3 linked regions of the Alligator mississippiensis genome follow. The protein of the gene in region 1 interacts with the protein of each later gene in a biochemical or structural test. Links are inferred from orthologs where the notes say so. Each region holds a gene or a part of one and is shown on either strand. Other genes may lie near its edges.

Region 1 (10,217 bases):
AGACCAGTTGGCTGCCCAGTGCTGATCTTCAATTAAAATTATGGTAATTCAAGTTTTAAGCCATTATGATTTTTTTTTTAAAGTAAGTACACTTACGCTTGACAGTAAGGCTTCTTCTGGTGGCTAACAAAGTTATTTACTGTTAGCTTCATTTTGCAGATTTCACAATGAAAACAGGCTTTGTGCCATGTCTAGGAATAGAAAAGATTAAAAGATAGTGAAAGTGTCTCATATGTCCTTATTATTCCAGCAATATTTAAACCTCAGCATTGACCCCTCTGTCCATTTCATAAATAGCCATTTACCACTGCATAAATGGCATGCATTAAATGGACACTAAATTACTATCTTTAGTAAGATAGTAAGATAATAGTAAGTAATTTAATAGTAAGATAGTAAAATAATAGTAAGTAATTTAAAAGAATTTAAAAAATAGCAAGATAAAAAAATAGTAAGATAATAGTAGGTAATTTAATAGTAAGATAAATTACTATCTTTGCAAGTTTGTAACCTCGTCATTTTTAATTATCTTCCCCAAAACACTCATAACCAAGCTTACCTTCACTCCGATAGCCACCATGAATAAAGAATGTATACGGTTAGGAGTTCAGTCTGCAACTCCAGCAGGAGCATGATCAAACCATATATTAGTAAGTAACTTTGCATATATCTATTAAACTCCAAAATGATCAAGAGAGAGTGTGTGTACTGACCTGATCTATACAGTTAATCTTCTCAGCAGGGTAAACCCCAAAGCCACATCTAGCACACGGCTGAACATTCATCTTGAAACCAACAGAGCAAAGAGTATATATCTATACACACAAAAGCTTCAAAAGATGATGACGACTTTTTGGCCTGTTTGTAACACTCCAGATAGTTCTGTAAAGCCCCTTTTCTATGATCAATTGCTCTCATTAAACTTCTGAAGCAAAGTCTCTGCTCCTTTGGTTGACCTTCTGTTTCAAAGTCAGCTGCTAGCTGGCTTTTAAAGATGCCCGTTACTAAGAGGGATTATTTTAGCAACTGTGTAAGTACATACAGAAGGGGAGGTGTTAGCAACATCTTTCTCTAAATAGAGGAGTGAAGTCACAGAAACAAATCATGTCTATGTGAATGACAGAATCTGGTCATTCAGTATTGAAGTTCGATGTTTCAGATTAGTCGTCATAACCCCAGGATGGAGATAAAGATACAGGCCACATCATCAGCAGCAGCTTATCAAAGTAGTAGCTAGTCTCCCCCATGTACAATGAATGACTTCACTGGGGGCTAATTTGTGTCTTATGTATATTCCTGTTTATAGTAGCTGGAGCCCAAGGAAGACATTGTAACTCAGAGTGAGCTGGCAGACGTTCACGTAATGGTGCAAGGGGAGCTGATCCCTGACCCAAGCAATCGCACCTCCTAACATGCCACATGTGCCAGATCAGAGACTGGATCCCAATGATGCCACTGCTAGCAGGACCCAAGGCATGGGTTTGCAACTGCTGGACAGGGGGAGTAAATCAAGTCCCCCCCACCTTCACCTGGCAGCTGCAAAACATGGCCAGGACCCTGGGAAAGGATCCCAGTCTCAGTGGACATCTAAAAAGAAAAGCATGTGCAGCTGGGCTGCGCACACAATGTTGGAAGATCCAGGTGCGCAGGGACCCTGGGATATCTAAAAACCATGTGTGCCGCCCAGCCCCTGCACGGCAAGGCAGTCAACCTGCCAGCTCCCAGGGACCCACAGCATCACCAGCTGTAAGATCTACCCCCGCAGGCACACCAGCATTATCCACTACCCTCCCCAAGGTCTGCTCAGCTTGTGAGTAAAGAAGAGACCAAGAAGATGTTGGAGGAGCTTGGGGATGCCTCTGTGAAGTGTCACAGGGTTGTTCAGGAATGGCACACATTTCTGAGGCAAGAAAAGGAGAAAGACAGGTGGGAGAAGGAAAAGAGCAAAGCCGCCAAGAGCGCACTGTGGTAACTAATTAAATAAGAAGCTGGAGGAGAATGGAGTTCACGTGGGTCAGGGGAAACTTAGAAGATGCTGGCCGCACAGAGCGGATAATACAGATGGACGTGGTAGGACAGCAACAACTCATAGACATTATGAGTAGGCATACATTGTAGGAGAGTCTGCTCTGGCAAAGGTGTCACTTGCCTTCGACCTGCTCTCTCCTTTGGCAGCCCACAGCATGCACAGCAGCCACAGGGTTTGCTAGTCCCATCCCATGGAGACCTCCTCATACTGGGACCCCACAGACCCCCTTCCCTCCTCCCTGTGAAGACCCAGCTCCTTCAGTCTCTCAAACCTCATACTAGGTTGCTCCAATGCTAATCCAGCACCCAACATTGCCAAGCAGCCAAAAAGAGGGGAAGCTGCTCGCCACAACCCTTCTCACCAACCGAGGTCTGAAGTTTTATCTCCCTTTTCCCTCCATGTTAACCCCACTCAATGACCCCGTTCTCAGTGTCCCAAATATTGTCAATGTATGGATTTGAGGCACTATTCGTTCTGGTTGCACTGTAAGGACAATAAAGTTGTGTTTCATTTAATATGGAAAATGTCTTTTTTGGGCAACAACTGAATTATTGCTGCTTGCAGAATGCATGGGTATTCAAATAGGATACCCTCACCCTGCCCGAGTATTACCAGCTACAATGCATTAAGTTAAAAAATCCTGGAAAAACGAAGAATGCAAAACGAGGCATGGACAAATTAGCCAGAGCCACAGGCTCTTGCAGTCTCACTGACCGTGCACTAAAAGCTAAAAGAATATGTTTAAAAATTAATGGAGGGACATAAAGCCTGCACAAGTGATCCTAACAACTGATCCCACAGAACCCCCGCAATGGACTGTTGCTGTCCTAAAATCCATGCAGAGCATGCAAAAGCATAGACACTATCACGTCCGTATTGTCAGTAAGTTGCCCTTTTTCATTAGGGAAAACAGGAGATTGCTCCTTAAAAACTCCTGAAAAGGCTGAAGTGCTCAATGCCTTTTTTACCTGTCTTCGCAGGCAGAGTCCACTCCCAGATTACTGTATTGGGCAGCACACTTTGGGGAGGAGGTGAGCAGCTGACAGTGGCAAAAGAACAGACTAGGGACTATTTAGAAAAGCTGGATGTGTACAAGTCCATGGGGCTGGACATGATGCACCTGAGCGTGCTGAGGGAGTTGGCCAATGTGATTGCAGAGCCACTGGCCATTATCTTGGAAAACTCATGGCAATTGATGATTGCAAAAGGGCAAATATAGTTCCCATTTTTAAGATAGGGAAGAAGGAGGATCCAGGGGATTACAGACTGGTTGGCCTCACCTCAGTCCCTGGAAAAATTATGAAGAAGGTTGTCAAGGAATCAATTTTTAAGCACTTGGAGGAGAAGAAGGTGATTAGGAACAGTCAGCATGGATTCACCAAGGGCGAGTCATGCCTGATCTGCCTTCTAGGATGAGATGACTGGCTCTCTGGGCATGGGGAGAGTAGTGGATGTGATATACCTTGACTTTAGCAAGGCTTTTGATACAGTCTCCTCTCCTACAACAGTCTCACAAATAAGCTAAGGAAGTCCGGGTTGGATGAGCGGCCTGTAAGATGGATAGAAAACTGGGTGACTCATTGGAATCAAAGGGTAGTAATCCATTGATGTCTAGTTAGCAGCCAGTATCAAGCAGAGTGCCCCAGGGGTCAGTCCTAGAGCCAGTTTTGTTCAGTACCTTCATCAACTATCTGGAAGATGGGTTGGTGTGCACCCTCAGCAAGTTCACTGATGACACCAAGCTGGGGGTGGGAATAGTAGATATGCTGCAGGGTAGTGTTAAGATTCAGAGACCTAGACAAATTGGGGGATTGGACCAAAAGAAATCTCAGGAAATTCAAAAAGGACAAGTACAAAACCCTGCACTTAGGACAGAACAATCTCATGCACCGGGGCAGGCTGGGGGTGACTGGCTGGGCAACAGCTCTGCAGAAAAAGACCTGGGGGTTACCGTGCACAATCAACGTGTGCAATTAACCCCCAAAGGCAAGGTTTCTACCACATTTTCAATGGGAGTGAACACCCCACCCCAACATCCCCAGCAGGACTCTGCCCTCACCGAACTGCCTGGCAAGTGACCCGCAGCACTCGGAGGCTGCGAGTTCCCAGCGAGTGACGGCCACAGTGAATAAAGGCAGGGCGAGGTTGGTAGGAAACCTCCACAGCTCCGAGCAAACCACACAGATCCCTGGGAAGGCATCCCCTCATTTTGTGCCTGCTGACGGGCATCCCGGAGCCCTGGTCTGGTCCCTCAGCGGCGCGTACCTCAGCACCCCTCGGTTTTGGGGAGGGGGGGGTCTAAAGCTGTGTGCTAAGGGCCTGTCTTCCCGAGGGGTGAGCCAGGGAGGGCTTCTCTCGCCCTTTGCTTCAACATTAGCCCTAGGTGCAAATGCCAGGAATGGAAATGGTGCCAGGGATGAAAAGGGTGCCTGTCTCCCTAAGGGGCGACCCAGGGAGGGCTTTTCTTACCCTTTGCTTCTACATGAGCCCTAGGCACAAATGCCAGGGATGAAAAGGGTGCCTGTCTCCCTAAGGGGCGACCCAGAGAAGGCTTTGCTTGCCCTTCACTTCAACATGAGGCCTAGGCACAAATGCCAGGGATGAAAAGGGTGCCAGGGATGGAAAGGGTGCCTGTCTCCCTAAGGGGTGACCCAGGGAGGGTTTTTCTTACCCTTTGCTCCAACATGAACCCTAGGCACAAATGCCAGGGATGGAAAGGGTGTCTGTCTCCCTAAGGGGCAACCCAGGGAGGGCTTTTCTCACCCTTTGCTTCAACATGAGGCCTAGGCATGAATGCCTCGGATGGAAAGGGTGTCTGTCTCCATAAGGGGCAGCCCAGGGAGGGCTTCTCTCGCCCTTGGCTTCAACCTAACCCCTAGGCATGAATATCAGGGATGGAAACAGTGCCTGCCTCTTGCCCTTGCTTCAACACAGACACTAGGCATGAATGCCAGGTGCCTGACCCCGGGAGGGCTTTGCTTGCTCGCCCTTTGCTTCAACATCAGCTCCAGGTGCAAGTGCCCGGGAAGGGCACGGAGCCTGCCTCCCCTCGAGGCAAGCCAGGGCGGGCTTTGCTTGCGCGGGGGCGGGACGGGACCGGACGGGGCGGGCAGCCGGGGCCAGTTTCGCTTTCTCTTTCCCTGCAGCGGGCGCGGGACGCAGGCAAGTGTCGGGCGCGGCCCCTCCGGCCCCTCTGCATCCATCCCCCCTGCCTCCCCTGCCTCCACACCCACACCCACACCCCCCGGGCCGCCCGCGCCGCTGCGCTGCTCCGCTCCGCTCTGCGCTGCTCAGGCCTTGGCAGCAGCCCTGCTCCTTATTACTTTGGGGTGGGAATTTAGGGACAAGTGTTCCCATCTTTGCAAGAGAAACCCACCCCTGGGATTCTTCCCTCATCCGAAAACGAGCTGGCGCTTTGCATGTAGCCAGGGGCGCCGCCGTGTAGAAAGGGTGGTTAGTTTTAGGGGTGAGACCCCTAAAAATCTTGGTTTAGAGAGGATACGTTTTATTACACCGACGGGGAAATTGCAAAAAAGATTAATTTTTTTTTTTTTTTTTTTTGCAGTTTCTCAGCGGGTTTAAGGCAGGGGTGGGCAAAATAAACCCCGGGGGCTGGATGTGGCCTGCCAGCCCCGCGGGGCCCCTAAACAATTTAGAAAATTAACATTAATCTGCTGCGGGCAGGCGGGCGGGCGGGCCGGCTGTCTTGCGGCCCTCGACGGCTTGGTAAAACTCAGTAAGCGGCCCAAAATAATTGCCCGCCCCTGGTTTAAGGACTGGGCTTTGGGGACACGTTTGCAGCAAAGCTTTGAGGACGTGGCATCGAGCCACGTTCTGATTAAAACTCTTATCTGTGCAGGAGCAGAAAAACGCCACGCAGCGATTTCTGAAGGGAACAGCGAGGAAACTGGGTGCTCCCTGTGCGTATACTGAACAGTTCATCTCCGCGCTTTGCCTTGTTTTCTACCTATTCTACCCATTTCTTCCTCGTTCCTACAGCCTGCCACACTTTTAGCTTCTTTCGCTCCTTGGAGTCTCAGACCAGCAGAGGCTCCCTATGCCTGACAAAGGGTGACTGCACCCAAAAGCTTGCTCAAAACTTTTCTCCAACTACTCAGCTGGTCTAATAAGAGAGATCATGTCTCCGCAAAGAACCTGTCCTGCCTGGTTTAAGGACTTGCAGGGCTCTCCAGCGCAGTGCTTGGGAGGGGACATGCCCTGTGCGTCCAATCACAAGGGACAAAGTTGGCGTTGTGTAGTTCTCCGAGGGTTGGGGAGGAAACGTGCACAGCACGGCACATCTCGGTTAGCGCTGCTCACACCGTAGTGGCGTGGAGTGAATGTGCGCCTAGTTGCCATTTAGCTGGTTGCTGCATGCTCTTCAGTTATTTTTGTTGAGCGATAACAACACCCAGGTGTTGCTTTCCTGCGTGTGCATAGATATTTCAATCTATTCCCTCCTTAGCATGGGAGTGCAATATGGGACTTCATGTCCTGCTGAAGTTCTTCCTTCTTTTACCTAAATCTGATGTAATCTGCCAATTTTGCAAATCCATGTTCTTTCCAGATTACTGAGTTATTTTAAACAAGACTAGATTTACCCCAGACCATCACATACCATTGCTTTTTCTGTTGAAGTCAAATTAAAACCTGCTGAGACTGGAAACAACTGGGAGGGCGGGGTTCCCTTACCTTACTTTTCCAATTACAGGCTGAAAGGACAGTGATATTCAGATTAATGCTCTCTGGGTCTGGTTTCCACAGTCCTGATGATGCATCAGCAATAAAAGTGTATTTGTGTATCTGTTATCAGTTGAGTTCAATAGGATGACGTGAAGTAAGGATTGCCTGCATGAGCAAGCATTTTCAGGAATGGATCTTAAGTATGTGAATGAGCAACAAGTAGTCTGCTGGCTAATACTTAAAATAGAAATAAGCTTTTAACCTAGTAAAGAGTGTGTTTTCTAGTGTGCAATGGAAACCTCTCCACTGACCTTAGGAAAGGTATTCTCAGCATACACATCTTAAAACAGGCTTTGACTCAAATATATCAATTGACATAAAAGACTGCTATGATGTCTTTGAGTAATGTGCTTTTTAATGAAAGAAAAATATGGTTTTCTGGTTTTTTTAAATAAAAATAAAACCTCAACGTTAGGAAAATATAAGATGCATAATGTGATGGGAAAAGTAAAGAAAATTAAAATTGAGTCTATCTCTATAAAAACAGTTTTCAGAATTTTTCTGTATACAGACAGTTGAGTTTGCCTGTGTACATGTGCCTCCGTGCGAGAATTTGAGGGCATTTCTTTCTGAGTTTTCTGGATGTTTTCAATTTGGGTTATAGCTACACAAATAACAAATAAGTTGGTGTCTAATTTCCAAGTGTTTCCTGCTTCTTTGCAAACATATTTGTTTTCAATCCACAGAAAACATCTTAAAAACATGCTGTCAGGCATTTTGCCATCATTTTTTTATTTTTTAAACCTAGTTGCAGTTTGTGGACAGATTTTATTGACTCGTTTTATATCCCACCCTTCCATCTAAGTCAGCAGTGCTCAAATTTTCGGTCCTGTGGGCCAGATGAGTGGGGAGGGACCACTCTGCAGCCTGGATCGGCCCTGGGATGCCCGACACCACCCTGTCCCTGCCCTGATCGCTGGGATTTGTCCCCAGGGGCCTACCCCCACCCAACTGTGCCCCAGCACACTGGGATTGAGTCCCAGGGGCCTGGTGTTGCCCCCTCTTAGCTTTCCATACCGGGCTTGGGGCCTGGAGCTGCACCCTCTTAGTCCCTTGTGTGCTGGGATGGGGCCCTGGGCCTGGTGCTACCCCACCCAGCCCTGCATGCTGGAATTGGGTGCTGGATCCAGTGCAGAGCCCAGGGCTCCCCATGGGTCCAGGAATTTGGCAGTGGTGCCACTCCTCTCCCACCACCAAATTTCCAGGCGTATGGGGAGCCCCCCGGGATGGATGACACAGGGCCAGATTTGGCCCACAGCTGGGGGTTCAGTGCCCCTGGTGTAAGTCATCTTTTAATAACTACAAAAAAATGTAACGGGGATAACTGAGTATACACAGTATCAGATTGGAAGATCCAAAAATCGTACAATATTTCACAGTGTAACTGGCTTAATAATTTTATTAGAAAATATATTTGGTTTAATGATTGGTGTTTTTTATTAGGTTTCTTTTTATAGACAGGTTCCAACAGTAATAGCAGTCCCTGAAGGACACTTACTTACATTCGAGTTCTGTTTGAATTTGTTTGTGTAGATGGCAGAAAAGCTGTATGCTGACGGGCCTCAGTTGAACATGGAGGCTGAAGAGCTGGATGATACAGTGGATGCAAGGCCAGACAGAAGTGAGAGATTGCACATCTTTGGAAAGTAAGCAATGTTTTTCTCAAGTCCATTCAATTGGCAAGCCTGCTTGAAGTGGACTGTGTCCAGTTCTTCTGTACTTTGGAGGACATCAAGTGTTGCTGGAGGCAAACATAGTAAATCTAGTAAAAAAACCTGATAAAATGTCTGGAAAGATAAATGCAAAAGTGCTACCTTTGACTAGACATACTCATCCTCTGCACCCCAGCAAAGCATTTTTCTATCTAGACAGTAATTGATTATACTGCAAGGAGAAATGCAGACTGTGCTGCATGATGTTCCTTCCCTTTACTGCCTCGATTCAAAGTGAAAATGAGAAGGAATCCTAGTTGGCTAGTTTCAGATTTTATTAATAATAACCATCCTAAGGCTTTTTTGAAAGTCAGAAGTTACCTAAGTACATTGAACTTCAGCCTGGTTCTTGCTTCTCACATGGCTCTTAAATGGGGGTAGCAACTGGGAATTGAATGCACTGTTTTCACTGCACTGAGTTTGGATATTCTGCATCATGAGAATCCCCAACAGGCTACTTAGGACATCCTACACCCATCTCCCTCCAAAAAGTTTCACCAGGGCCAAGGAGGTAGCCTGTTACCCAAGAACTTAATCTTCTTGGGAGCTGCAGAATCATTTTTACCTTAATTTTAAGGAGTGCAATCCCCACTGAAGCATCATTTTACTTACCATAACTTCATAGGAAGTAGGAAGTATCGTCTGTGTTATGTTAGACCTTTTCTTTTGGGAAAATAGCCATCTGGAACTTCTAACGGCCCTTAAAGTGAGAGAAAGACTATTTTGTGCTGAGGGTTTCTTGGTGCTAGTGTTTTTCTTAAAAAGGGCTTTTATAATTTATGTCCTCTGCACTATACAACCTTGAAGTGAATGGCCTAGCCCTGACCAAGCAAAGGGAAGGCGTTTGGCTTTTTATTTACATTGTAATTATGAAGAATGTGTTAATGCACAGAGTGTATAAGGTTTAAAACCCTTACCTAGGAGTCAGAAGAGCTAAGTATTCTTGCAGCAGAGTTGCAGAGTTGACGTTCAGCAAGTAGCTTCAAACTTTTCCTGCTGCTTTTCTTAAAGAAGTGTTTTATGAGGCTTAATTAATGGAAAGCAATGGAAAGCTGTTGTGGAGGGTGTCATAGAAATGTCAAGTATTCCCATTGGTGCACTTCTAAAAAAAATGTAAATATTCCTGTTTAAGATTATACCCACAACCTGCAGTGCTAGCAGATACAAGCAGAGGATGTGACATTCTGCCTCCAAAACCTGAGCAGCAGTTTTTAAGGACATATTTTGAAATTAATGCAACTTGTGTTTAAAAAGCAAAATTGTTCCTCTCTATGGGGAAATAGTCTCGTTCCATTATTTTGCTACTTGCAGTTTATCACTTTTAGTGGAAGACAAGAATCAATGTCTTTATGTGCTGAGAAATGCTTCAAGCAGCGTAACTGCCCAGTGTGCCAGGCATTTGTATTTTGGGAACATCTGGGGAAACGTTACCTTACCCAGAGAGCAGGGCTGTGCAGCTGAGAGCTCCTGAGCTGCATGCAGCACACGACGGGGTAAACTGTGGCCTGGGGGCTTATCAGTGGTGTGCCACCTCTTCTCCCCCCCAACCTTGCCCCATACTTAATGCCCTCCACCAGATTTGGGGGCATCTGTTGGCAACTAAAATCAGAGGCGTGGTAAAAGTGACAGGTGCAAATGAGGACGGTGGTGGTCACCCCTTGGGTTTTGAAGCCCCTCCAGCAACTAGTCCCTTGCTCCTGCCTCGTATGTACGGTGAGAGTGAGCCACTGGAT
Region 2 (10,132 bases), on another chromosome or scaffold:
CACAACCCGGCTTGGTAGTCTAGAGGGTGGTATCCCCACAGCCTGCCTGGGCCAGGGTGGGCAGGCAGGCTGCGGGTGCTGCATGGTGTTGCGTGTCACTAACAGGGCTCCCACACACATGCACACAGCTTGGGGGGCGGGGGAGTTCAGCTCTGTTTCCCAGTCACCCGGTTTGAGCCCCAGGCAGCTGCTTTGCCAGCGTCTGCTGCGTGTCTAACCCATCCCTCCCTAGCCCACCTGCCTCTGCATCTGGGGCTGCAGGGTCACTCCAAGGCCTTCAGAGGTCAGGGTAGGATGCAGACACTGGAGCTGCCCATGAGGCAGGTGCTCACTGCTTTGGCTTCCCTCTGTGTCAGCCACATCCATCCACTTCCCTGCCTTTCGGGGGGGTGGGGGGTTGCAGCTGCCACTCGAGCGTGCCCTGCAGGCTGAGGGCACATGCCAGTCTACCTGTTTGTGGCTGTATCTAGACTATGGTGGTGCCAGCACAGGGCCACCAAGCTGCTGCCTTGCTCACAGGGAGATTTGTGCCAGCTTCACCCCTGGCAGAGCCTGAGTCCTGGGACTTCAGGGCCTGGCACAGCTACTGGCTTACAGGACCCAGAGCCATCTTGCCCGAAGGGGGTTTGACCTCACCAATGGAGCCAGCAAGAGGCCGGGCTCCAAGAGAATCGGATCTGGTTCCCATGAGCTACGCTGGCCTACTCCCTGGTGGGACCGGAGCCACCTTCACGCTGGCGTCTGGCACATGGCACTGTGTTGTCAGGGCTCGAGCTGGGTCCTGAGAAAGGCACAGCCTTTGTAATCCACTGGGCCTGGAGAACAAACTGGGCACCCAGCACCACAGATCCAACATTCACAGCACCACGGTGGGGGCCCAGCCTGAGCAGGTCTGGCTGTTCTGTCTGGGCCTGCCTGCCCCTCGCTCCGTGCTGGGAAACCTGACACCCATTTTCTCTCCCCAGGGTCTGGCACAGAGTCCGACAGCGACGAATCCGTCCCAGAGCTCGAGGAGCAGGACTCCACACAGGCCACAACACAGCAGGCACAGGTGAGGGTCCCACCAGACGGGAGGAGGGTCCTACCGCACTGGGGATGGGCGCAAACCTGGGAAAGATGTGGATGGCATGATATAAGCCCTGGGCTTCATGGGCAGCTCTCCAGCAATGGGAGCAACTGGCCTACCCCCACTGCTGTCTGATGGTCCTCTTGCCTGTGTTCCTGCAGCTTGCAGCAGCCGCCGAAATAGATGAAGAACCCGTCAGCAAAGCAAAACAGAGCCGGAGCGAAAAGAAGGCACGGAAGGTATGAGGAGGAGCTGACGTGGTCCAAGCTGTGCGGTCCCCCTACAGGCAGCCTGGGAGAGCCTGGCAGCAGGAAGTCAGGCCCAGCCTCAGCCCTGCCTCAGCCTGACTCAAGGGCGCTCGTGACCCCCCACAGCTCTGAGTTTCCCTGTCTGTGGGAGAAGCTAGAGCACACTGAGTCAGCCCAGGGTCCCATGGTAAAACGGAGGCCCAAACCTGGCCTCTACTTTCCCTCTTCACCCCCCCATCTCTGACCGTGGTTCTATAGCAGTCCAGTGCTGAGGCTGTGCCAGCCCTTTGGGACACGATGAGCCCCAGCCCGATACTTCCCTGCTCCCTTCGCTCTCTAGGCAATGTCCAAGCTGGGCCTTCGCCAGGTCACAGGAGTAACCAGGGTCACCATCCGGAAATCTAAGAACATCCTCTTCGTCATCACAAAGCCAGACGTGTACAAGAGCCCCGCGTCAGACACTTACATTGTCTTCGGGGAGGCCAAGGTGCGGGGGCGGTCTGGGCCATCTGTCTCTCACTGACCTATGTCTGGGTTGTGGTGGCAGTGGCGGGGACTTTTCTTCCGTGGGTGTGGGCAAGGCAGGAGTGTTCCTTGGCACCTTGTCTCGGGGTGGTGGCCGGGCTCTGGGGATGCCCGCAGAGCCCCCCCAACAGCTTCACTGCACCACGGCCTCTTCCCCCAGATCGAGGATCTGTCCCAGCAAGCACAGCTGGCAGCCGCTGAGAAGTTCAAGGTGCAAGGAGAAGCCGTGTCAAACATCCAGGAGAACACACAGACGCCCACAGTGCAGGAGGAGAGCGAGGAGGAGGAGGTGTGTGCCCACAGCTGGCCCTTGCGTCTAGCAGAGCATGCTGAGAACTGGGGCTCTTACTCCTGTTTGGGTGCCATTCCCCCTCCCTGCCCCTACCCTGGGTTGAGCGATGCTGTCTTCATGGGGCCAACCCCGTGTCAGCCTGATGCCCCCCAAGCCAACCCTGCTTCTCTCTGCTCAGGTGGACGAGACTGGCGTGGAGGTGAAGGACATTGAGCTCGTCATGTCGCAGGCCAACGTGTCCCGGGCGAAGGCAGTGCGCGCCCTCAAGAACAACAGCAACGACATCGTAAATGCCATCATGGTGAGTGTCCCTGTGGCCAGGCACCAATTGTGGGGCAGTGAAGAGCAGCAGGGAGCGGGTTTCCCCCGGGACATACAGCCATGGACAGTGGTGCCAGGAGCCCTGTGGGCCATGCCTCTGAGAGCCCATGCCTCCTTCCCACCTCTGCTCGGTAGGGCCAGCCTGGCACTGCCCTGCTCGGGCATTCCTCATTCTCCATCCTCACCACCTGGCAGGGATGGGGCAAACAGGACGGCTCCAGGCATCCCAGCCCCCTCTGGGCTTTGTGGCCAGGCAGAGAGCCAGTGGGGGGAGGTGCCAGGCTGCTAACTGCCCCATATCAAATCAAGAGAGCTCAGAACTGTCTGCCCCCTTCACAGGAATCCCCCTGCCCCACGTGGGGCAGCCTCTGATCCCTCTCTCCCCTTCTCTCCCCTTCTGCAGGAGTTGACGATGTAGCCGTGGGAAGGGAGGAACCTTTTTGGTGTTTCAAAGCAGAGTCGATCACAGCTAGATTTAACCTTTGTACAATTTCTATCAAGGAATAAACGTTGTGGCTTCTTGTTGGTGAAACCCTCCTATTTTCTTGGTTGAACTCTGCACTTCCCAGAGGAGCTGAGCCCGTGGGGGGCCGAGATGCGCCTTGTTCCCCTGCCTTCGTCCTCTGTGAGGCAGCAGGACCCCCGTGCATTAGCCCCTGGGTGTGTTTCCTGAGCAGGGAACACTGGTCTTCAACTTGACGTCCCAGCAGGCAGGTCTGTGGAGTGTCACTCAGAGCTGGGGCCAAGTCCCTAGAAATCTGGGCTGCCATACGTGAGGGGTTTAAACCCGACCCCTTTGCCTCCTGGCTCTCAAGCCTTCACATCGTGCTTTCTCCACGTCGCTCCAGACCCAGACGCCAGGGTTGTATGGATGGGAAATCCTCTCGGAAACGCGTGAGCTCACCCCAGGGGACGACGTCAGCAAACACTGAGATGCCACACGAGCCGGCGGCCCTGTAATTACACAAACAATTCCCCCCTGAATGCTGTCTTGCTGGGAGGTTTCCTCGGAGTTTGCTGCCAGCAGCCTGCTGAGTCACCTGCTGTGGTGTGGCCCTTGCCTGGACTTGCTGTCACTGTATCGTCTTTCTATTGCAGTGGCACCACGGAGCCCTGCTGCCCGAGGCTTGGACATGCGGTAAAACAGGTCCTGCCATTTTAAACGTGCCATGTTGGGGCGGTGCAGCGCAGTGAAAAGCCCAGCTCTTCGCTTGTCTCTCTCATTCCCCCAGGCCTGCGGGTCCCAGCTTGGCCTTATCCAGAAAGCTGTTGCCTGTGGTTCAGGGGAGAGTCCTCAGGGTTCAGAAAGGAGGTGGAGAAGGGTGCAGCTTTACCCCACAAAGTGTCTTAAGTATCCTGAAATGGAAGACAGGAGCTGTCTTAAACCCAATTAGCTCCAGTGCAGAGCATAGTGCCAGCCAGAAACCTCAAATGAAGTTGGCAGGAGGCCACAGGAAGCCCCTTGTTACCTTCCCAAGCCTTGCTCTCGTGGCCCACAGAACTACGAGGGCTGAAATGAGACGTGGTTGTGGTCTGACCAGCTTAATAAGAGGCGGTAGAGAAGCAAGTCCCTTATAAGAAGCCTTGGAGGAGGGGGGAGCCAGGCCGAGCGAGATGGATGTGGTGGCAACATTTGGGAAAGAAAGTGAAGTGTGAGGTGCAGGGGCAGGATGGTCCAGAGGGGAGCAACGAGGTTTGCAAGTGGCCTGGAGCACACGAGGTTGCGTTCGTAGGCCGCAGCAGAGGAATGAGAAGAGAAGAGAGCTCCCCATACCCCTTTGGTGGGGGCTTGAGGTGATTCTTGTCAGCAGGTGTTAGTCGGTTGTCTTCCTGCTGGTCCTTTGCCCTGATCGGCCTGAAGCCTGATTTGGCTGGGTGCCCACAGGGCTGGATCTGTGCACAGGCTCACTGCCTGGAAAAAGATGCAATGTTGGAGAACGCGGAGGAGGGACAATGGGCTCTGCTACGTCCTGTTCTAGAACAGAGGCGGGGGGGCTTTTCCTTTTGCTGCCTGGGAGCAAAACAAGGAGCTTGATGGGCACCCATGGGCTGTGTGGAAGACCCTGGCAGGCTGTGCTACATCCTGAGTAGTTCTACACTCAGGCTGCTTCATGGTCTGCTGAGGAAGAGCAGGCAACCGTGCAGCCCGCATGCGTCGCTATCTCTACTGGCAGCTGTCTTCGCGGTTCCTGCAGGAACGAGCCTCGCAGAGCAGCGCGTCGCTCGCAGCAGCAGCTCTTTGGCAAGGTCTCTGCAGTGGGAAGCTCCACTCCAACACAGACAGATGCAGAAGCTCAGGACAGACCAGGACCTGCAGCAGAGGAAGGTGGTTCTGAGCAACCCAGTGTCCTACGCCCAAAGCAAATAGGGAGGTTGCCCTAGCACTCCAGGCCATGTACCAGGCTGGGGCTGGAGTCCTAGCTGGTGCCCTGGTGTACCTACAGGAGACAGTTGGCCCTGGGGGCGCCAGGGAGGGGGGCAGGGGGCTATCCCCAGCTGTTGTCCCCGGGCCTGTGCACCCTTTCACCCCCTTCCATCGGCCCTGCTCCTACTTGCAAAGGCGGCAGAGCCGCCCACGCCCAGGGGACTCCATTTCCCAGCCTCCACCGCGCCCGGAAGGAGGAAGGGGGAGCGTTGCCGCGGCAACCGCGGCCGCCTCTCGTCCTTTCCCCCAGTGCCGCGCATGCGTGCCGAGAAGCTGCTAGAAAGGAGTGGAAAGAGCCGCGGGCCGTTGCGGCGCAGGCGTAGTAGGGTGGGGGGGGCGCCGGAGGCCGCGCACGCGCGAGGGGAGGCGGGGAGCGGAGGGCGGGCGCGCGGCGGGTATTTTGCTGCGTCACCAGCGCCGCGAGCCGCCGTTGCCCCAGCGCGCGCGGGGTATTGTGGGAGCCAGGCCAGGCCGAGCCCGAGCCCGAGCCCTGAGGAGCCGCCGCCGCCGCCGCGCCCTGCCCGCCCGCCCGGAGCCGGGCCCCGAGCCCCGACCGCCGCCAGCGCCATGTGAGGGGGGCCGCGCCCGCCCGGGGGGGAGAGGGGCGGCCTCAGGGGCCACGTGCGGGTGGGGGGGGGCGGCCCCACGCGGGAACGTGGCCTGTGGCGGTGGGGAGCCGGGCCTGGGCCTCCTCCCCGCGCGGGGCGGGGGCGGCCTTCGCACGAGGTCCGAGGCGGGGACGAGCGGCGCGACCTTGAGCCCCCCCCCCCACACGTGTGTGTGTGTCCCACCCCATGTAGAAAGGGGAGGGGCCGAGCCAGGCGGTTTAGGGCGGGGGGATGGGACGGATGGATGGCCGCCCCCCCACGTGCGTGGGGTGGGGGGTGTCCCCTCCCCAGAGGATGGGGAAGGCCCTACCCCCAGGAGTGGAAAGTTGCTGGTAGGCGTAGGGAGCCCCCACCGGGGTGGCTGCCCCCCCCCACACCTGAGGGTGGCTCCAGGCAGCAGCCGCCTGCCCACCCGCCTTAGCTTTTTTTACGCTGGGCTTCAAACTGATTTGAGGAGGCTGCTATGCCCAATTAGCTGTCCAAAGGGGGTGGGAGGGTTTGTTTTATTCTCCCCCCCATCGTTTCAAGTGTGGTTTCAGGCCCCCTGTTTGATGCCGCCCGGGTGGGGGGAGAAGAGTCGGCTCCAAACGCACGTGGCTCAGCACAGAAAGCGGCGCTGGTTCAGGCGCTCCCGTTGTCCAAAGGACACCGGCTCCACGCCTGAAGCAACTGGATCGTTTCCAATGAGTCGCGGCCTGTCCCCGGTGCCGCCCGGGGAGGCGTACGTGGGGTTGCTCGCGTGAAGAGCTTGCGCTCGGGCTTGGCCTGCCAGTGACGACGAGCTTCAGTCGTGTAGCGTTGTGACGAGCGTGTGGATTGAATTAGTAGCTTGTCCTGATTCTGGAGAAACTAAGGACCAAGACTCTTGCTTGCGCTGAAATGGGACATCCAAATGTCCCCGCAGTTGGTAATGCTGGTGCGGCTCCCCGGGAGCCGGCAACCTTGGGAGCGTTTGCACCGGCAAGTCTGCGGGGGCTGAAGCCGGGAGCAGTTCTCCCTGGGAACACGTGAAAGGCTCGCGGACTGCGTTTAGGACTCCCAGCATTGCCAGTGGCCAAGTCCCACCAGCGGAGAAGCACCGATTAGGCAAATTGGTGCTTGCGTCGTAGAGGCCCCTCAGCAGCAACCCGGTGTTTTGGGACTCTGACCTGGCCAGGACGGTTCTCGCCAGGCTTTGGGAGCCTTGATTAGCTGCTTCGTTATGAGTCTATTGCGGTTGCTTCTCTGACCCAAAACTGAAGTGTGCCATTCATAACGGAGCGACAGCAGGGCACGTATTAACTCTCTAGACGTACCGGTGGCAGGATCACTGAATTGGACGCTGCTCGACTTCCCTGAGTCAAGCGTTATTTCATAAGGGCAAATGTTGCCCTTAAAAACCCTGCAGTGCCTTGTGAACTGGGTGGGAGTTGAGCACATGGTGGAAATGGCTTCAGTTACTGCGTGTGATGATTTAATGGGTCTTTTTACTTGATGGTAGGAAGCAGCCTCCAATAGCAGGCATGGGACTGGCCACTCAATGTGTGGGATTGGTCAGCTTCCTTGGATTAGCTGACTCGTTCCAACTTCTGCCCCGACGATGACTCCTGTGCAACTAATCCAGCATCACTTTTTTTTTGTATTTCTCCTACCCAAATTTAATTGTAATGAGAAAGCTAGTAAAACAGGGTTGGTTTTTATCCCATCGCAACTTGATATAGTGCCATTATTGTATTATATCTGCTCACTTCCAAACTAGGGCAGGGACAAAGGCATGGCTGGTCCAAGTTGTGCTGGGAGATGGAGCAGGGAGGGAATATTTGGGGAACCAGCTAGGCCAGGCGGGCATCTCCAGATTGATAGCCTCTCCTTGAGCTGTATCTAGGAGCGAGTTCTCCAAAACGCGAGTGCCACCATTGAATCCCTGGCCTGGTTTAATATACCCCGTGCCCCGTTTCTTTGCTCCCCTTATTCTCTATACTGCTGCAGCTTCCAGTGATCTATAGACTGACGTGGAGTGCATCACAGCAGTCCAGAGCAGGCATGACACGGGCTTGGCTGTCTTGGCAGGGCTCCCATAAGTGGGGGAAACTGGTACAATCTTTATGCTAAATGCACAGTTAAAAAACAATGCCTAACTGCAGCAGCCAGCTGAACTTTCAGGAGCAGCATTCAGCATCACATCATTAAAGGTCACTTGGTAAAGTAGGAGTTCTGATGCTTGCCACACTGCAGTACCATCGCGCTCTTTGCTCAGGTTGAGTGTGTAAATTTGCCAGTCAGGCTGAGTTCTCATTTCAGAGCATAGGCAACCAGAAGCAACTGCTCTGATCCAGTCCTGTCAGCACCAAGCTTGAGTTTGTCTGATAAAGAACATCCCTGCCCAACATGAAACATGGGGACCCTAGGTAGGACAGGCTGCCTGTTGCATGAAGCTGGAAAGACTTTCTGGCTGTTTGGTTTTGGGACATGCAGGGTTTGTGGCATTATTAAACCACCTTGGGTGGAGCACTGGAACAAAACTAATGTATTTTAGACTTCTTACAAAGCCAGCATGGTGGCTGCACCTCATCTCTTGTGGCCCGAGTCACCTTCCTGGCAAATCTGAAGCAATATGAGAGCAGCTAGTGTTGCCTGCCTCTCGCAGCAGAGCACATTTCTGGTGAGATGCTCTGGGTCAGGCTGGGGGTGGGGGGTGGGTTAAATGATAGGTCTGCATAATAAATGCATACAGCTGGGAGTACTGAAAAGTCCTGAGGCTGGTCCTTGCTGCGAGTGGGGAAGTAGATAATGTGCTGCATAACAGCTTTGTGTGCGTGGTGGAATAACCCTCCCGCACAAGTGTTCAATCAATCTGACGTGAACGTGCGCATTTTACTACTGGTCTCTGTCCACGTCTTCCAGGAATCTTAAAATACAGGCGTGTAATGTAAATATGTTATGGCACTGCATTGCTTCCTCTGAAGCTTCTGCTAGTCATGTTGAAGCATCCTGTTGTGCATCACGGAGTGCAGCACTTCATGAGAGAACCAAAAACTAAGGTCTCTGTTAAATGGTTGAGGGTTTTTTTCTTTAGTCTGTTTTGAAGGATTTAACTTAATTGTCCTTAAAAAGGTCATCAGCGCTTCTTTAAAAAAGAAAAAGGTGAATTTAACCTGATTGCAGCAAGTATTTTAGGGGATTGCAGCCTACTTTAGTGTTTAACTGTCTAATCTTGGGTTAGAAAGGTGACAAATATGTACTGTATAATCATAAAAAATGAGGGTTGAAAGAGACCTCAGGAGGTCACATCTAGGCCAGACCCCTGCTCCAAGCAGGGCCAGCCCCAACTAGATCATTCCAGCCAGGGCTTTGTCGAGCCTAGCCTTAAAAACCTCCAAGGATGAGGTTTTTAGTGTATACAATTAAAATTTTAATTCTGAAGCTTTACCTTCTGCTACTGCCCTCCCCTTCCACTGAACAGCTTAGAATTGGGCTGTCCCCTTTTAAGTCTAGAGCAAATCCTTTCAAAGACATAGAGTGGTGACTCTCAAGCAGGGTGCCACGAACTCCTTTCAAGGATGCCACAGCATGCCACACAACGGCAGCACTATTAGGTGTGCAAGCATGGCTTGCAAGATAAAACCCTATGGCCTCAGACCAACACAGCTACAGCCAGCACCCCCAAAAGGCACACCCAGAGATTTCAAATAGGAACCTTAATTATTAAAAACGGCCTGACCTGTTGTGAGCTTTCTGACTTCTTTGCAACTGAAGAATTGCTCTATTTTATTTTTTTTGTAGTAAGAACAAAAAAAAGATGAGGGAAAACTAGAAGCTGGCACTTTCCAAGGCATGCCTAAAGCCTATCGAGGGGTACCTTGAGCCTATAAAGGCTGTGAATCCCAGATTTAGAGGGTCTCTATTATAGTGCAGTTGGGACCTTGTTCCTGTAAAAGCCTGTTAATCTTGGCAAAGAAGCCAAGGGAATATATCCAGCAGCCCTGGCTGAGGAAACGTACATAACTCAGAGAAGGCTGGTGATATCTCCATTGACATGCAGTACTTGCAAAATGTCAATAGAATTCAGCAAACTCTCTTCCTTAGGAAGAGCAGGGACACTGAGACTTCTGTTCTGACACAGCCTCTCTGCGTAACCATGTCCCATTCCATGCAGCTGAAACATTTGTGTCCTGGTGGCACGAGAAGTGACACAAAGCATCCAGAGTACCAAGTTTGGGCCAGAACAGAGTAGAAGCAGAGGGGGCTCACCCGAGTCCTCTGCTCTGTGGCTGTGAGCCCTAACTAGGGAGGCAAGGCTCATGGGAGGAACTGGGAATATCATGTGAAGGAGTTTCTGCTCTTGTGTTATGCGGTTTGCACTGAATTTTTGCATAAGTGGAAAGGGAAACTTCTTGCCATTTGCACTGTTTCTGATATATGCTATTCAAAGATGTTGGCCCTTCTGCCTGTGGATCAGAGTAAAGCTCTTTAAGTATCATATTGAGAAAAGGGCCCTCTGTTGTCATGACTGGAGAAGACTTCTGTCCTTAGAGAAGACCCCTCTTGACTTGTGCCTCTCTCTGGGTTGTGGTCCTGCGTGTTTACCTCATACACGGTACCAGAAGGCAACCTTGGACCTTAATGCAAATGGGTTTTTCTTGTGGAAAACAAAAGAGTAAATCCAGT
Region 3 (9,893 bases), on another chromosome or scaffold:
GACAGGGAATCAAACCCCCAGCTCCCATGCCTGGAGGTGATAGGATATTCTTAGAAGGACACTTTCCATACCTCCTGCTGTGCAGCTGTGACACTGGGCAGCAAAGCATGCACAATTCAGTGGCCCTAGAGGGAGAGCATAAAACAGAGAACTACATAGCCTAATTGTCAGGATACTTGCTGGGGGGATAGGGGGAAGGGAAGAGAAGGGCTGGGGTGAACAATTCCCAGGACTGTAGTTTATCCAATTACTTGAATAAAATAATACATGAAAGAGTCCTGGGGCATAGGTCAGAACCTAGGTCTGTACTCTGCTTGTTCCCCTCCCACACCCATGAACAATGGTCTCTATTACGCAGCGTCTGTGGCCCAGTGAATCTTATTCTATTTGTTGCACAGGGACATAGAAATGAGGTGGAAAATGACCTCTCCCCACATACACACAGCCTGTATCATAGTGTTTAGGACACTCTCCTGGGAACTGTGGATCTGAATCCTCTTAGGGCAGGGGCGGGCAGTTATTTCAGGCAGAGGGCCGCTCACTGAGTTTTGGCAAGCCATCAAGGGCTGCATGACAGGCAGCCAGGGGCAGATAAATATTAATTTTCTAACATTTTTAGGGGCCCCATGGGCTGGATAGAATGGCCTGGCAGGCCACATTTTGCCTACCTCTACCTTAGGGAGAAGTTGTCTTATACCCAGGTCTCTTATTTCCTGGGTGAGTGATCTGGCCACTAAACTATTATATAAAGGCAGAAGTAGCTCCCTGCCATCCCTCACATTTTCAAACAGTAAGTCTACTCAGTTCTTTGAAAGAAAGGACATGGGTGCCTATCTTAGTCAGGGATGATTCAGCCTTGAGCAAGGGGCTGGAGTAGATGACCTCATAAGATCCCCTCTAGCCCCATTTTCCTAAGATCTTATGTGATTGGTTGGTCCCAAATAGACACAGGTGCCTCCCTCTTACCCCAAGTAAGACATCTGAGGGTTGAGATTTTGGATTCCCCCCATTCTCAGCGTTTCCTTATTGTCTACCTGTAGCCATCAGAGCAGTGGGATGCTGCCTTTAGGCAGCTCCCCACTCAGTTGGCTACCTGTTTTTGACCTAATTCTAAGATGCCCGATTCTCCCCCCATCCTGAATAGGGAGCCTAAAACACCTAACAGAGAAGCCAGGAACCTAGAGCTCTTATACATATGTGGGGAGGCTGCTTCAACGTGCTGTAATTATGATTAATTGAGTCTGCTGGACCGTGGTAATTACCACGGTCCAGGAGACTCTAGCATCACATGCATTTCTCTAGCAGACTCTAGCATCACAAGTATCTCTGCACTGAAAGGTCTGTTCAAAAAGCTTTAGCTCAAAGCGTTCCACCGCCATTTTTCAGTGTGGGGACACTGATACACATGATGCTCCTGGCGCTTTAATTAGCATGGCTCTTGGAGCTGCACATCTATAAATGCCCCTCGATACTAGGTGATCCAAGACACAAATTTGAGACACCTAAAATCTGGCTCAGAACACTTACTACAGCAAGTGGGACTAGTCCCATCAATAAGTTTACATGTTTGCCAGATCAGGCCTTAAAACTATTACCAGTTAAGTCACAAATTTTCTAATTTACAGCTTAAGTTCAGATAAGATTGTGACTTGCCTTGGGAGGGCTAGTGGTGGAGGTTGCAGAGGGGACCATGCCACCCACCCAAAGGCCAGTTATAGTCCCTGCAGTTGTAAGACTGCACGGACTGAGCTCTCTGTGCACACTCAGGCAGGGATATCTTTCCAAAGGAAGGGGCGGTAGGAGAGAGCAAACAGGCCATGCCTCAAGCTCAGGGATGGATGGTCTCCCCCATGGTACAGTCTTGATTTCCCGCTGGGGTACTACAGTTAAAAGTATCTACCCCCTCTTTGGGACTGTATCATAAAGGCTCCATTCAAATACTGCAGATCACTTCTGGAGTCTGTAGAACACTGTCATGCCACAAAATTAATCACAGCCAACCATACATCCGTAGCATCAAACTTTGAAAAGAAAGGGGGTGGGAGGGCTTTTACAATCCATGGAACAGAATCTGGGAACCCCCGTCATAAACCATGAGTAACTTACATGTCCTTTGCCCTTTAATCTTGTGTGTGCATGACCATTTTTCTGGGACTGAGAAAAGCAACGTGACATTTGAGAAATCAATGGCAAAGACATTTGACCTCTATAATCACGTTTAGGAGAATGCTGCTGTTAATAACAGACAATCAGAGCAGGGAGAGAAAAAGCATGAAAAAAGATAGATCAGTAGCTGGGATGTCAGCATGGGCTTAAGAGATGAGACCCCCATTTCACCTCTGAGTTCTCCTTCTGACCTTGGGTAAGTCACTGGGTCACTCTGTGTCTTGGTTCCCCACATACACAATTGGGATAAAAGCCCTTCGTCACCTGCAGTCTCTCAGCATAAACATGCTACAGACTGTAAGGTTCTCAGATACTCGAAGGGCCATAAACATGCCAAAGGTAACAGCACGTAAAATAAAGCACTTCCGATATACTGTAATGTCAAAGTCCAGCAAAGAACACACGTAAACATAACAATCAAACATTTTTTCCCCTCCAAATGTAACATCATTTAATGGCGGAATGGAAAGAGAACGATGGAGCAGAGACGGCCAGGGCTTTGCCTGGATTGCTATACAAGAACAGCCATTTACTGGGTCAGCCCATGGGTCCATCTTGCCCGCTTGCCCGTCACATGGGGCAGAGAGTGGATGCTGGAAGAGAGAGTGAACTAGATCTGACCAGGGCTCTTCCACCCCATCCCCGCTGTTCATCTCTGGTTTGCAGCCTCCAGCATTTAAGGGCTAGGAAGTCCTGTTTCAGAGGCTGTGCCCTGCACTCCAGTGCTCATCAGCTCCTCATTTTCCTTTCCTCCAAGAGTGTGTCCCATTCCTTTTTGAATTCGCCAGCTAAAGTATCAGCTCCCACAACTCCTGGTGACGAGTTCACACTTTAGTTACACGCTGGGTGAAAGAGAACCTCCTTTGGTTCGTTACGTGTATACACGTGCTCCCGAAGTGGGAGAGGGGGGTGCTTTGATTAGAGCAGCTCTAATTAAAACGCCCGGAGCGTCTCATGTATTGGGCTTAAAAATGTTGGTTGAGGGACTTTATGTAAAGCTCATCAAACGAGCTTGAGATAAAGCACCCCCACTGCCATTTTTACGTGTGGGGATGCTGATACACGAGATGCTGGAGGCTGCTATCAGACTCAATTGACTGAGTCTGCCCCGACGCTGCCACTGGAGCGTATCAGAGCACCCTTGCTGCTCGTGTATCAGCGCCCTTAGCTCTAGTCTTGCCAGAGTCCATAATCAATCCCCGCTGACTTTCTCTTCGCCGTCTGGGATTCAGCAACCCACTCTCCTGCCCCGCCACAAGCATCTCTCCTGCACTGACCGCACCTCGCCTCCTCCCGGAGCCCCTCGCTGCCCTTCTCCGGACCCGCTCCTAGGTCCTTTCTGCGGCGCTGACCACCTCCAGAGCAGACCATGGCTAAGAGGGGCGCGGCGGTACTTCCACAGCCTCCCAGAAAAGCCCCCTCCCTAACGCGCTCGCCAAGTAAACACGAAGCAAGCTTCTCCAACATGAAGTCTGAGAGCCACCAGTCTATAGGGGGCAAATCCACCCTGCCTCCTGCCTGGCTTCAGACTCCCGGGGGCTTAAGAGACCTCAACCCGCCCTAATGCAACGTGACTCCGTGGCTAGAAGCAAAGGGGAAGCGAGGGGCCGGGGCCGATGCAGACACAACAGCGGGCGGGCCGGGCCGCGTTACCGATGGAGATCTCCTGCGCGAAGGCGAGCGAGATGAGCAGCAGCGGCAGCCCCACGGCGATGCACGTGACGATCTTGTCCAGCGCCAGCTCCAGCCGCAGCCCCTTGTAGCGGCTCTCGGCCGGCTCCTTCAGCAGGAAGTCGGAGAAGACATACTCGGTGGCGAGGTGCGCTATGGCCATGGCCCGCCGCTTCCCTCCACTGCTCTGCGGCGGCGCCCGGCGGCTCGACTCGGCTCGGCTCGGCGCGCCCCGCCCCGCCCCGCCCCGGCTGCAGCGCCCTCCCCTGCCCGCCGGCGGGGCCGCCTCCCGCCGCCAAGGAGCCGAGGTACCGGGTTGCAGCCGCCCGCGCGCCCGCCCGGCCTCCGAGTCGCGTCCTGCAACGCTGGAGGCTGCGAGCCCCCCGGGCTCTCTCCCCTCTGCCCGCCCTCCCCCCCCGACACCAGCGCACGGATCTGGGCGCTGGCCCAGTAACTGGCCACTTGGGGTGTTTTCAGGAGGGCTCCGCTGCTCTTCTGCCTGCAGGTGCGGTGCCCTGAGTGTCTGGGCTGCCGCTGCCAGTCCCCATGGCTTCAGTCCGCTCCGAGAAAGCTGGCGTGTGAGGACCGTGCAGGCCCAGGCGGTATCACTGCAGCCTGTGAAGCTGCATCTTGGCTACCCCAGATTAATGCCAGGGAGGGTATGTGTGCCCACACTCACTGGCAATGTGAAGTGGGTGCACGTGCACCCTCTGCAAAAAGGCGTTGCCGGCAGCACCTGTGGGCAGTCGCCACTCGCCACCCCCACCCTTGCTGCTTACGCCGCTGGCAGTGTATGTGGGCAGTCTGCGAGGACTGCTGGCCACTGCCGACGCTATCCGCAGGCAGTCACGGACCACCAGTCAGCGTCCATCACTGACACCGCCGCGGCTGCCTGCGGGAGCTCCCCCTCGCCACCTCACGTTCCTGCCGCCAACAGCATGGCTGCCACCTGTGGGAGCTCACCATGACCCCTCATGTCCATGCTACAGTCGCACTTTGGGTGGGACTGTATAAACCCAGAGGTTTATACACTTTGGGTGGCGGTATAAACACAGAGGTATTAGCCCTGGTAGTCTGAAGTCAGGCAGGAAGCAGGTTAGATTTGCATCCTATAGACCAGTGGTTCTCAAACTTTTTTTTTTGGTGGACCACTTGAAAATGGCTGAGGGTCTCGCAGACCACTTAATAAACTTTTTAATCGAAGCACACAACTCCTATTTTCCTTTCTGCAGATTACCTAAATGGAGCTCACAGACCAGTGGTGGGCCACGGACCACTGTTTGCGAACCTCTGCTGCAGACCAATGATTCTCCACCAGGAGGTCAGGGGTCCTGGGGTAGCATGAGATCTTCTGAAGGGTGCATTGAGGTGTGAGGAGATAAGTACAGGCTCAGGCTTGCCTCCGTGGCTGCTGCCTGCACCCTTTGCCAGGAGCCCCTGCCGTGGATGCAAATAAATTAGGTTTTGAAGTGGCGTGCTGCTCAATTCACAGGCAGTATGGAGATGCCTCGAGTCAAAAAAGGTTGAGACACACTGTTGTAGATTAACTAAATCAGAGATGCATAGCATAAGCTTTCATAAGCAGTGGGTTTACTTCATGAGATGCATTTTCAGCAGAGATAGGAAAGTATCTGTTACCATACAAAGCACTGGTGAGACCTCTCATGGAAGGCTGCATACAATTCTGGTCACCCTGTTCAAGAAAGATGAATTCAGACAGAAAAATCAGGAGACTAATGTCTGTTTTACAAAAGACGACAAAAAAACCTGCTGCTTTGTTCAAGTAAAATAAAGGTGGGGCGGGAGGGGGGGGTGTATGTTTGCTTCCTATAAATACATTATGGGGAGTAAATGCCAGGGAGAGATGTAAGCCAAAGAACAAACAAAGGTTACCAGAGATGTATAGCATAAGCTTTTGTTAAACAGATGGCTTTACTTCATCAGGTGAAGCACTGAATGAGGTAAAGTGATCTGTTTAACACAAGCTTATGCTATGCATTTCTGGTTTCGTCAGCCTGTAAGGTGCAAATCTACCCTGCCTCCATATCCTGCCTGTAACTGTGGGATAACTGTTTATTTGTACAGGGGAAAAATGGAAAATTCCTCCATCTAAACCAGGGGCAGGCAAAATACAGCCCGCGGGCCATATCCAGCCCATCAGGCAATTCCATCCAGCCTGTGGGGACCTTCCGTAAGCCTGGCCCTGGGCTGCCCCTCTGCAAGCTAGCACCTCCACGCAAGAGATGTGGCTCTGGTTGCTAAATAACCACCCCCCAACCCAGCCTGGCCTGGCCCATGCCAGCCCCAAGGTGTCAGTCCCATAGTTGTTTCCCAGCCTTCCTCCTTCAAGTGGGAATTCAGGTAAGGGCCCTACCGGGCCAGGGGCCAGAGACACCCACTGAGGGGGAAAGGGGACAGGAGTACGGGGAGCTGCATGCTATGGGGCCAGGCTGGGCTGGCATTGCATGCTGCAGGAGGGCTGGAGTTTGCACTGTGGGGCTGGCCCTGCCTGCTGCCACTATGTGCACCCAGGGACTCCGGATGGAGCTGTGCATTATGGAGCGGGGTGGGACTGGCCCCGCATGCTGCTCTTCCGTGCAGCCAGGGACTTGAGCAGGAGCGCTATGGGGCTGGGTGCGGCTGGCCCCACATGTGCTGCCATGTGTAGCCAGGGACTCAGGCAGGAGCTGCGTGCTATGGGGCTGGGCATGTCTGGCCCTGCTTGCTGACACTTGTGGCGCAAGAGACTTGCTCACACCAGGGACTCTGAGGACCTACCCCCACACACACTCCACCTGACCCCACATACACCCAAATCCATCCTCCCACAGCCCCCACACACCCCACACCCCACCATACTCCCACACACCCCAGTTCTCCACCCTCCCCCACACACACCCATGCACACACAGTTTAGGAACCACTGGATTACAGATACTCTTGTGCATGGTGGTGGGCAAAGCCAGGTGACTGAAAGGTCCCTGAGCCTGAGCAGGCAGTCAGGGAAGCTGACTGCAGAGAAGCAGTACCCAGGGAAAAAAGGCCATCCATAAGGGTGAGACAAGTTTAGCTCTAGGAGAGGATGGATAAAAATCAACAATTAAAAAAAATGTAAAATGGAGTTTATTTTATTTAAATCACATTTTTTTATTTAATCATATTTTTGTGATTTTTGTTGTTGTTAACATGCTATATAAAGATAGTTTTAATTTAAGATATGTTAAAGCTCAAAGATATCATGGAATAGGGATTACAACTTCTAATTATATATCATTTGAGACAATATATTCATGTAACTTGTTTAGAAAAGTTTTATAAATAGGTTGCAACAGGACTATATTAGGAGCCTGGTCTTATGGATCTATAGATTAGTAAAGATTAAAGAAAACCACTCTACCCAATGGGACTCAGTGCTCAGTCTAGAAGATCCCATTAAGCACCTCTGTGATGCTTAGTTTCTGTTCTCAAACTGTGGATTTGTGTCTCCAGAGCTAACATCCTAGTTGACAGCAGTATATGGGAATCAGAGCTGGGGGGCAGCAAAGGCACCAGTCACAGGGCTCAAGTGCCTATACACTAACGCTAAGAGCATGGGGAGCAAGCAGGATGAACTAGCACTCCTGCTTGCAGAAAACACCTATGACTTAGTAGGGCTAACAGAAACCTGGTGGGATTCTTCCCACGACTGGGTGGTACATATTGAGGGTTATAAACTGTACAGAAAGGACAGGGTGGGGAAGAAAGGGGGAAGGGTTGCGCTCTATGTCAATGAGCAATATACATCGACCCTTATCAAGACGGAATCGAAGGAGGAGAAAGTAGAAGGATTGTGGGTTAGGTTACATGGGGGTCAAGGAGAAAGGGATTTGGTGGTAGGGGTCTGCTACAGACCCCCACACCAAGGGGAAGAGCTAGATATGGGGCTCCTGAGGCAGCTCTTGGAGACCATAAAAACTAAGGAGGCGGTAGTCATAGGGGACCCAACTACCCAGACATCTGCTGGGAGATGCAGACAGCAAAGTCCCACCGTTCATGCAGGTTCCTATCCTGTGTACAGGACCTCCACCTGACGCAGGAAGTACATGGTCCCACTAGGGGGAATGCCTTACTGGACCTGGTATTGGCAACGGGGGATGACATGGTAGGGGACCTACAGATCGGTGGTCACCTGGGGGACAGTGATCACCAAATAATAGAATTCATCATAAGGCATCGAGTGGGTAAGGTAACAAGTAGGGTGAAAGTGCTAGACTTTAGGAAAGTTGATTTCAATGAACTCAGGCGATTAGTCAAGGATGCACTGCAGAGTAGGAGTTTTGAAGAGATGGGAGCCCAGGAAGGGTGGCTGTGCCTTAAGGAAATGATCCTTCGGGCACAGAGGGAGACGATCCTGATGCAGGGAAACAGAGGAAAGGGGCCAGAAAGCTTCCCTGGCTGACCAGAGAAATCCAGAGCAGCCTACGGGCTAAAAGGGGAGCATATAAAAAGTGGAAACGGGGAGAGATTACCAAAGAGGAGTATACATCCTCTGCTTGCGCTTGTAGGGAGGCAGTTAGACAGGCCAAAGCTACCATGGAGCTGAAGATGGCATCCCAAGTTAAGGATAACAAGAAATTGTTTTTCAGCTATATAGGGAGTTAAAGGAAGGCCCAGGGAGGAATAGGACCCCTACTAAATGGGCATAAGCAATTGGTGACAGACAGGGGGGACAAGGCTGAACTCCTCAATGAGTTCTTTGCCTCAGTGTTCCTAAGCGAGGGGCAAGACAAGGCTCTCACTGGGGTTGTAGAGAGGCAGCAGCAAGGCACCAGACTACCATGCGTAGACCCTGAGATGGTGCAGAGTCACTTGGAGGAACTGGATGTGTTTAAGTCGGCAGGCCCAGATGAGCTCCATCCAAGGGTACTGAAGGCACTGGCTGACGTCATTGCGCAGCCACTGGCGGGAATATTTGAGCACTTGTGGCGCGCGGGCCAGGTCTCGGAGGACTGGAAAAGGGCCAACGTGGTCACCATTTCAAGAAGGGGAGGAAGGAGGACCCAGGCAACTATAGGCCATTCAGTCTCACCTCCATCCTTGGCAAAGTCTTTGAAAAAATTATCAAGGTTCACATTTGCGAGAGCCCAGCAGGAAAAATTATGCTGAGGGGAAACCAGCACGGGTTCATAGCAGGTAGATCATGCCTGACTAATCTAGTCTCTTTTTATGACCAGGTTACAAAATGCCCAGACACAATAGTAGGGGTGGATGTCGTATACTTAGACTTCAGGAAGACCTTTGATATGGTATCCCACCCCATACTGGTGAACAAGTTAAGAGGCTGTGACTTGGATGACTACACAGTCCGGTGGGTGGCGAATTGGCTAGAGGGTCGTACCCAGAGAGTCATAGTGGATGGGTTGGTATCGACCTGGAAGGGTGTGGGCAGTGGAGTCCCGCAGGGCTCAGTCCTAGGACCGATACTCTTCAATGTCTTCATCAGCGACTTGGACGAGGGAGTGAAGTGTACTCTGTCCAAGTTTGCGGATGACACAAAAATGTGGGGAGAAGTAGACATGCTGGAGGGCAGGGAACAACTACAAGCAGACCTGGACAGGTTGGACAAATGGGCAGAAAACAACAGAATGCAATTCAACAAGGAGAAATGCAAGCTGCTGTACCTAGGGAGGAAAAATGTCCAGCATACCTACTGCCTAGGAAATGACCTGCTTGGTGGAATGGAAGCGGAAAGGGATCTTGGAGTCCTAGTGGACTCCAAGATGAACATGAGTCGTCAGTGTGACGAAGCCATCAGAAAAGCTAATGGCACTTTATCGTGCATCAGCAGATGCATGACGAACAGAACCAAGAAGGTGATACTTCCCCTCTATCGGGCGCTGGTCAGACCGCAGTTGGAGTACTGCATGCAGTTTTGGGCGCCACACTTCAAGAGGGATGTGGATAACCTGGAGAGGGTCCAGAGAAGGGCCACTCGAATGGTTAGGGGCTTGCAGGCCAAGCCCTATGAGGAGAGACTGGGGCACCTGGACCTCTTCAGCCTCCGCAAGAGAAGGTTG

The links.
Region 2: of the proteins of CASP7 (region 1) and PTGES3, one has a biochemical effect on the other in vitro, tested with the Homo sapiens proteins (2 studies listed by BioGRID and IntAct). The link is inferred for Alligator mississippiensis from reciprocal best matches to the Homo sapiens genes CASP7 and PTGES3.
Region 3: of the proteins of CASP7 (region 1) and PANX1, one has a biochemical effect on the other in vitro, tested with the Homo sapiens proteins (2 studies listed by IntAct). The link is inferred for Alligator mississippiensis from reciprocal best matches to the Homo sapiens genes CASP7 and PANX1.

What each region holds. Positions count from the first base shown.
Region 1 is NC_081829.1:92,561,631-92,571,847, reverse strand, and holds the start of CASP7 (caspase-7), read left to right. Parts: upstream 1-5,163; 5' UTR 5,164-5,191; intron 5,192-5,888; 5' UTR 5,889-5,949; intron 5,950-8,305; coding exon 8,306-8,418; intron 8,419-10,217. Other genes in the region: NRAP (nebulin-related-anchoring protein), read right to left, coding at 97-191, 714-785. UniProt on the Homo sapiens protein: Thiol protease involved in different programmed cell death processes, such as apoptosis, pyroptosis or granzyme-mediated programmed cell death, by proteolytically cleaving target proteins.
Region 2 is NC_081838.1:6,971,959-6,982,090, reverse strand, and holds the start of PTGES3 (prostaglandin E synthase 3), read left to right. Parts: upstream 1-5,104; 5' UTR 5,105-5,135; coding exon 5,136-5,446; intron 5,447-10,132. Other genes in the region: NACA (nascent polypeptide-associated complex subunit alpha), read left to right, coding at 966-1,051, 1,228-1,305, 1,655-1,801, 2,000-2,128, 2,310-2,432, 2,856-2,870. UniProt on the Homo sapiens protein: Cytosolic prostaglandin synthase that catalyzes the oxidoreduction of prostaglandin endoperoxide H2 (PGH2) to prostaglandin E2 (PGE2).
Region 3 is NC_081824.1:447,803,808-447,813,700, forward strand, and holds the start of PANX1 (pannexin-1), read right to left. Parts: upstream 4,050-9,893; 5' UTR 4,001-4,049; coding exon 3,820-4,000; intron 1-3,819. UniProt on the Homo sapiens protein: Ion channel involved in a variety of physiological functions such as blood pressure regulation, apoptotic cell clearance and oogenesis.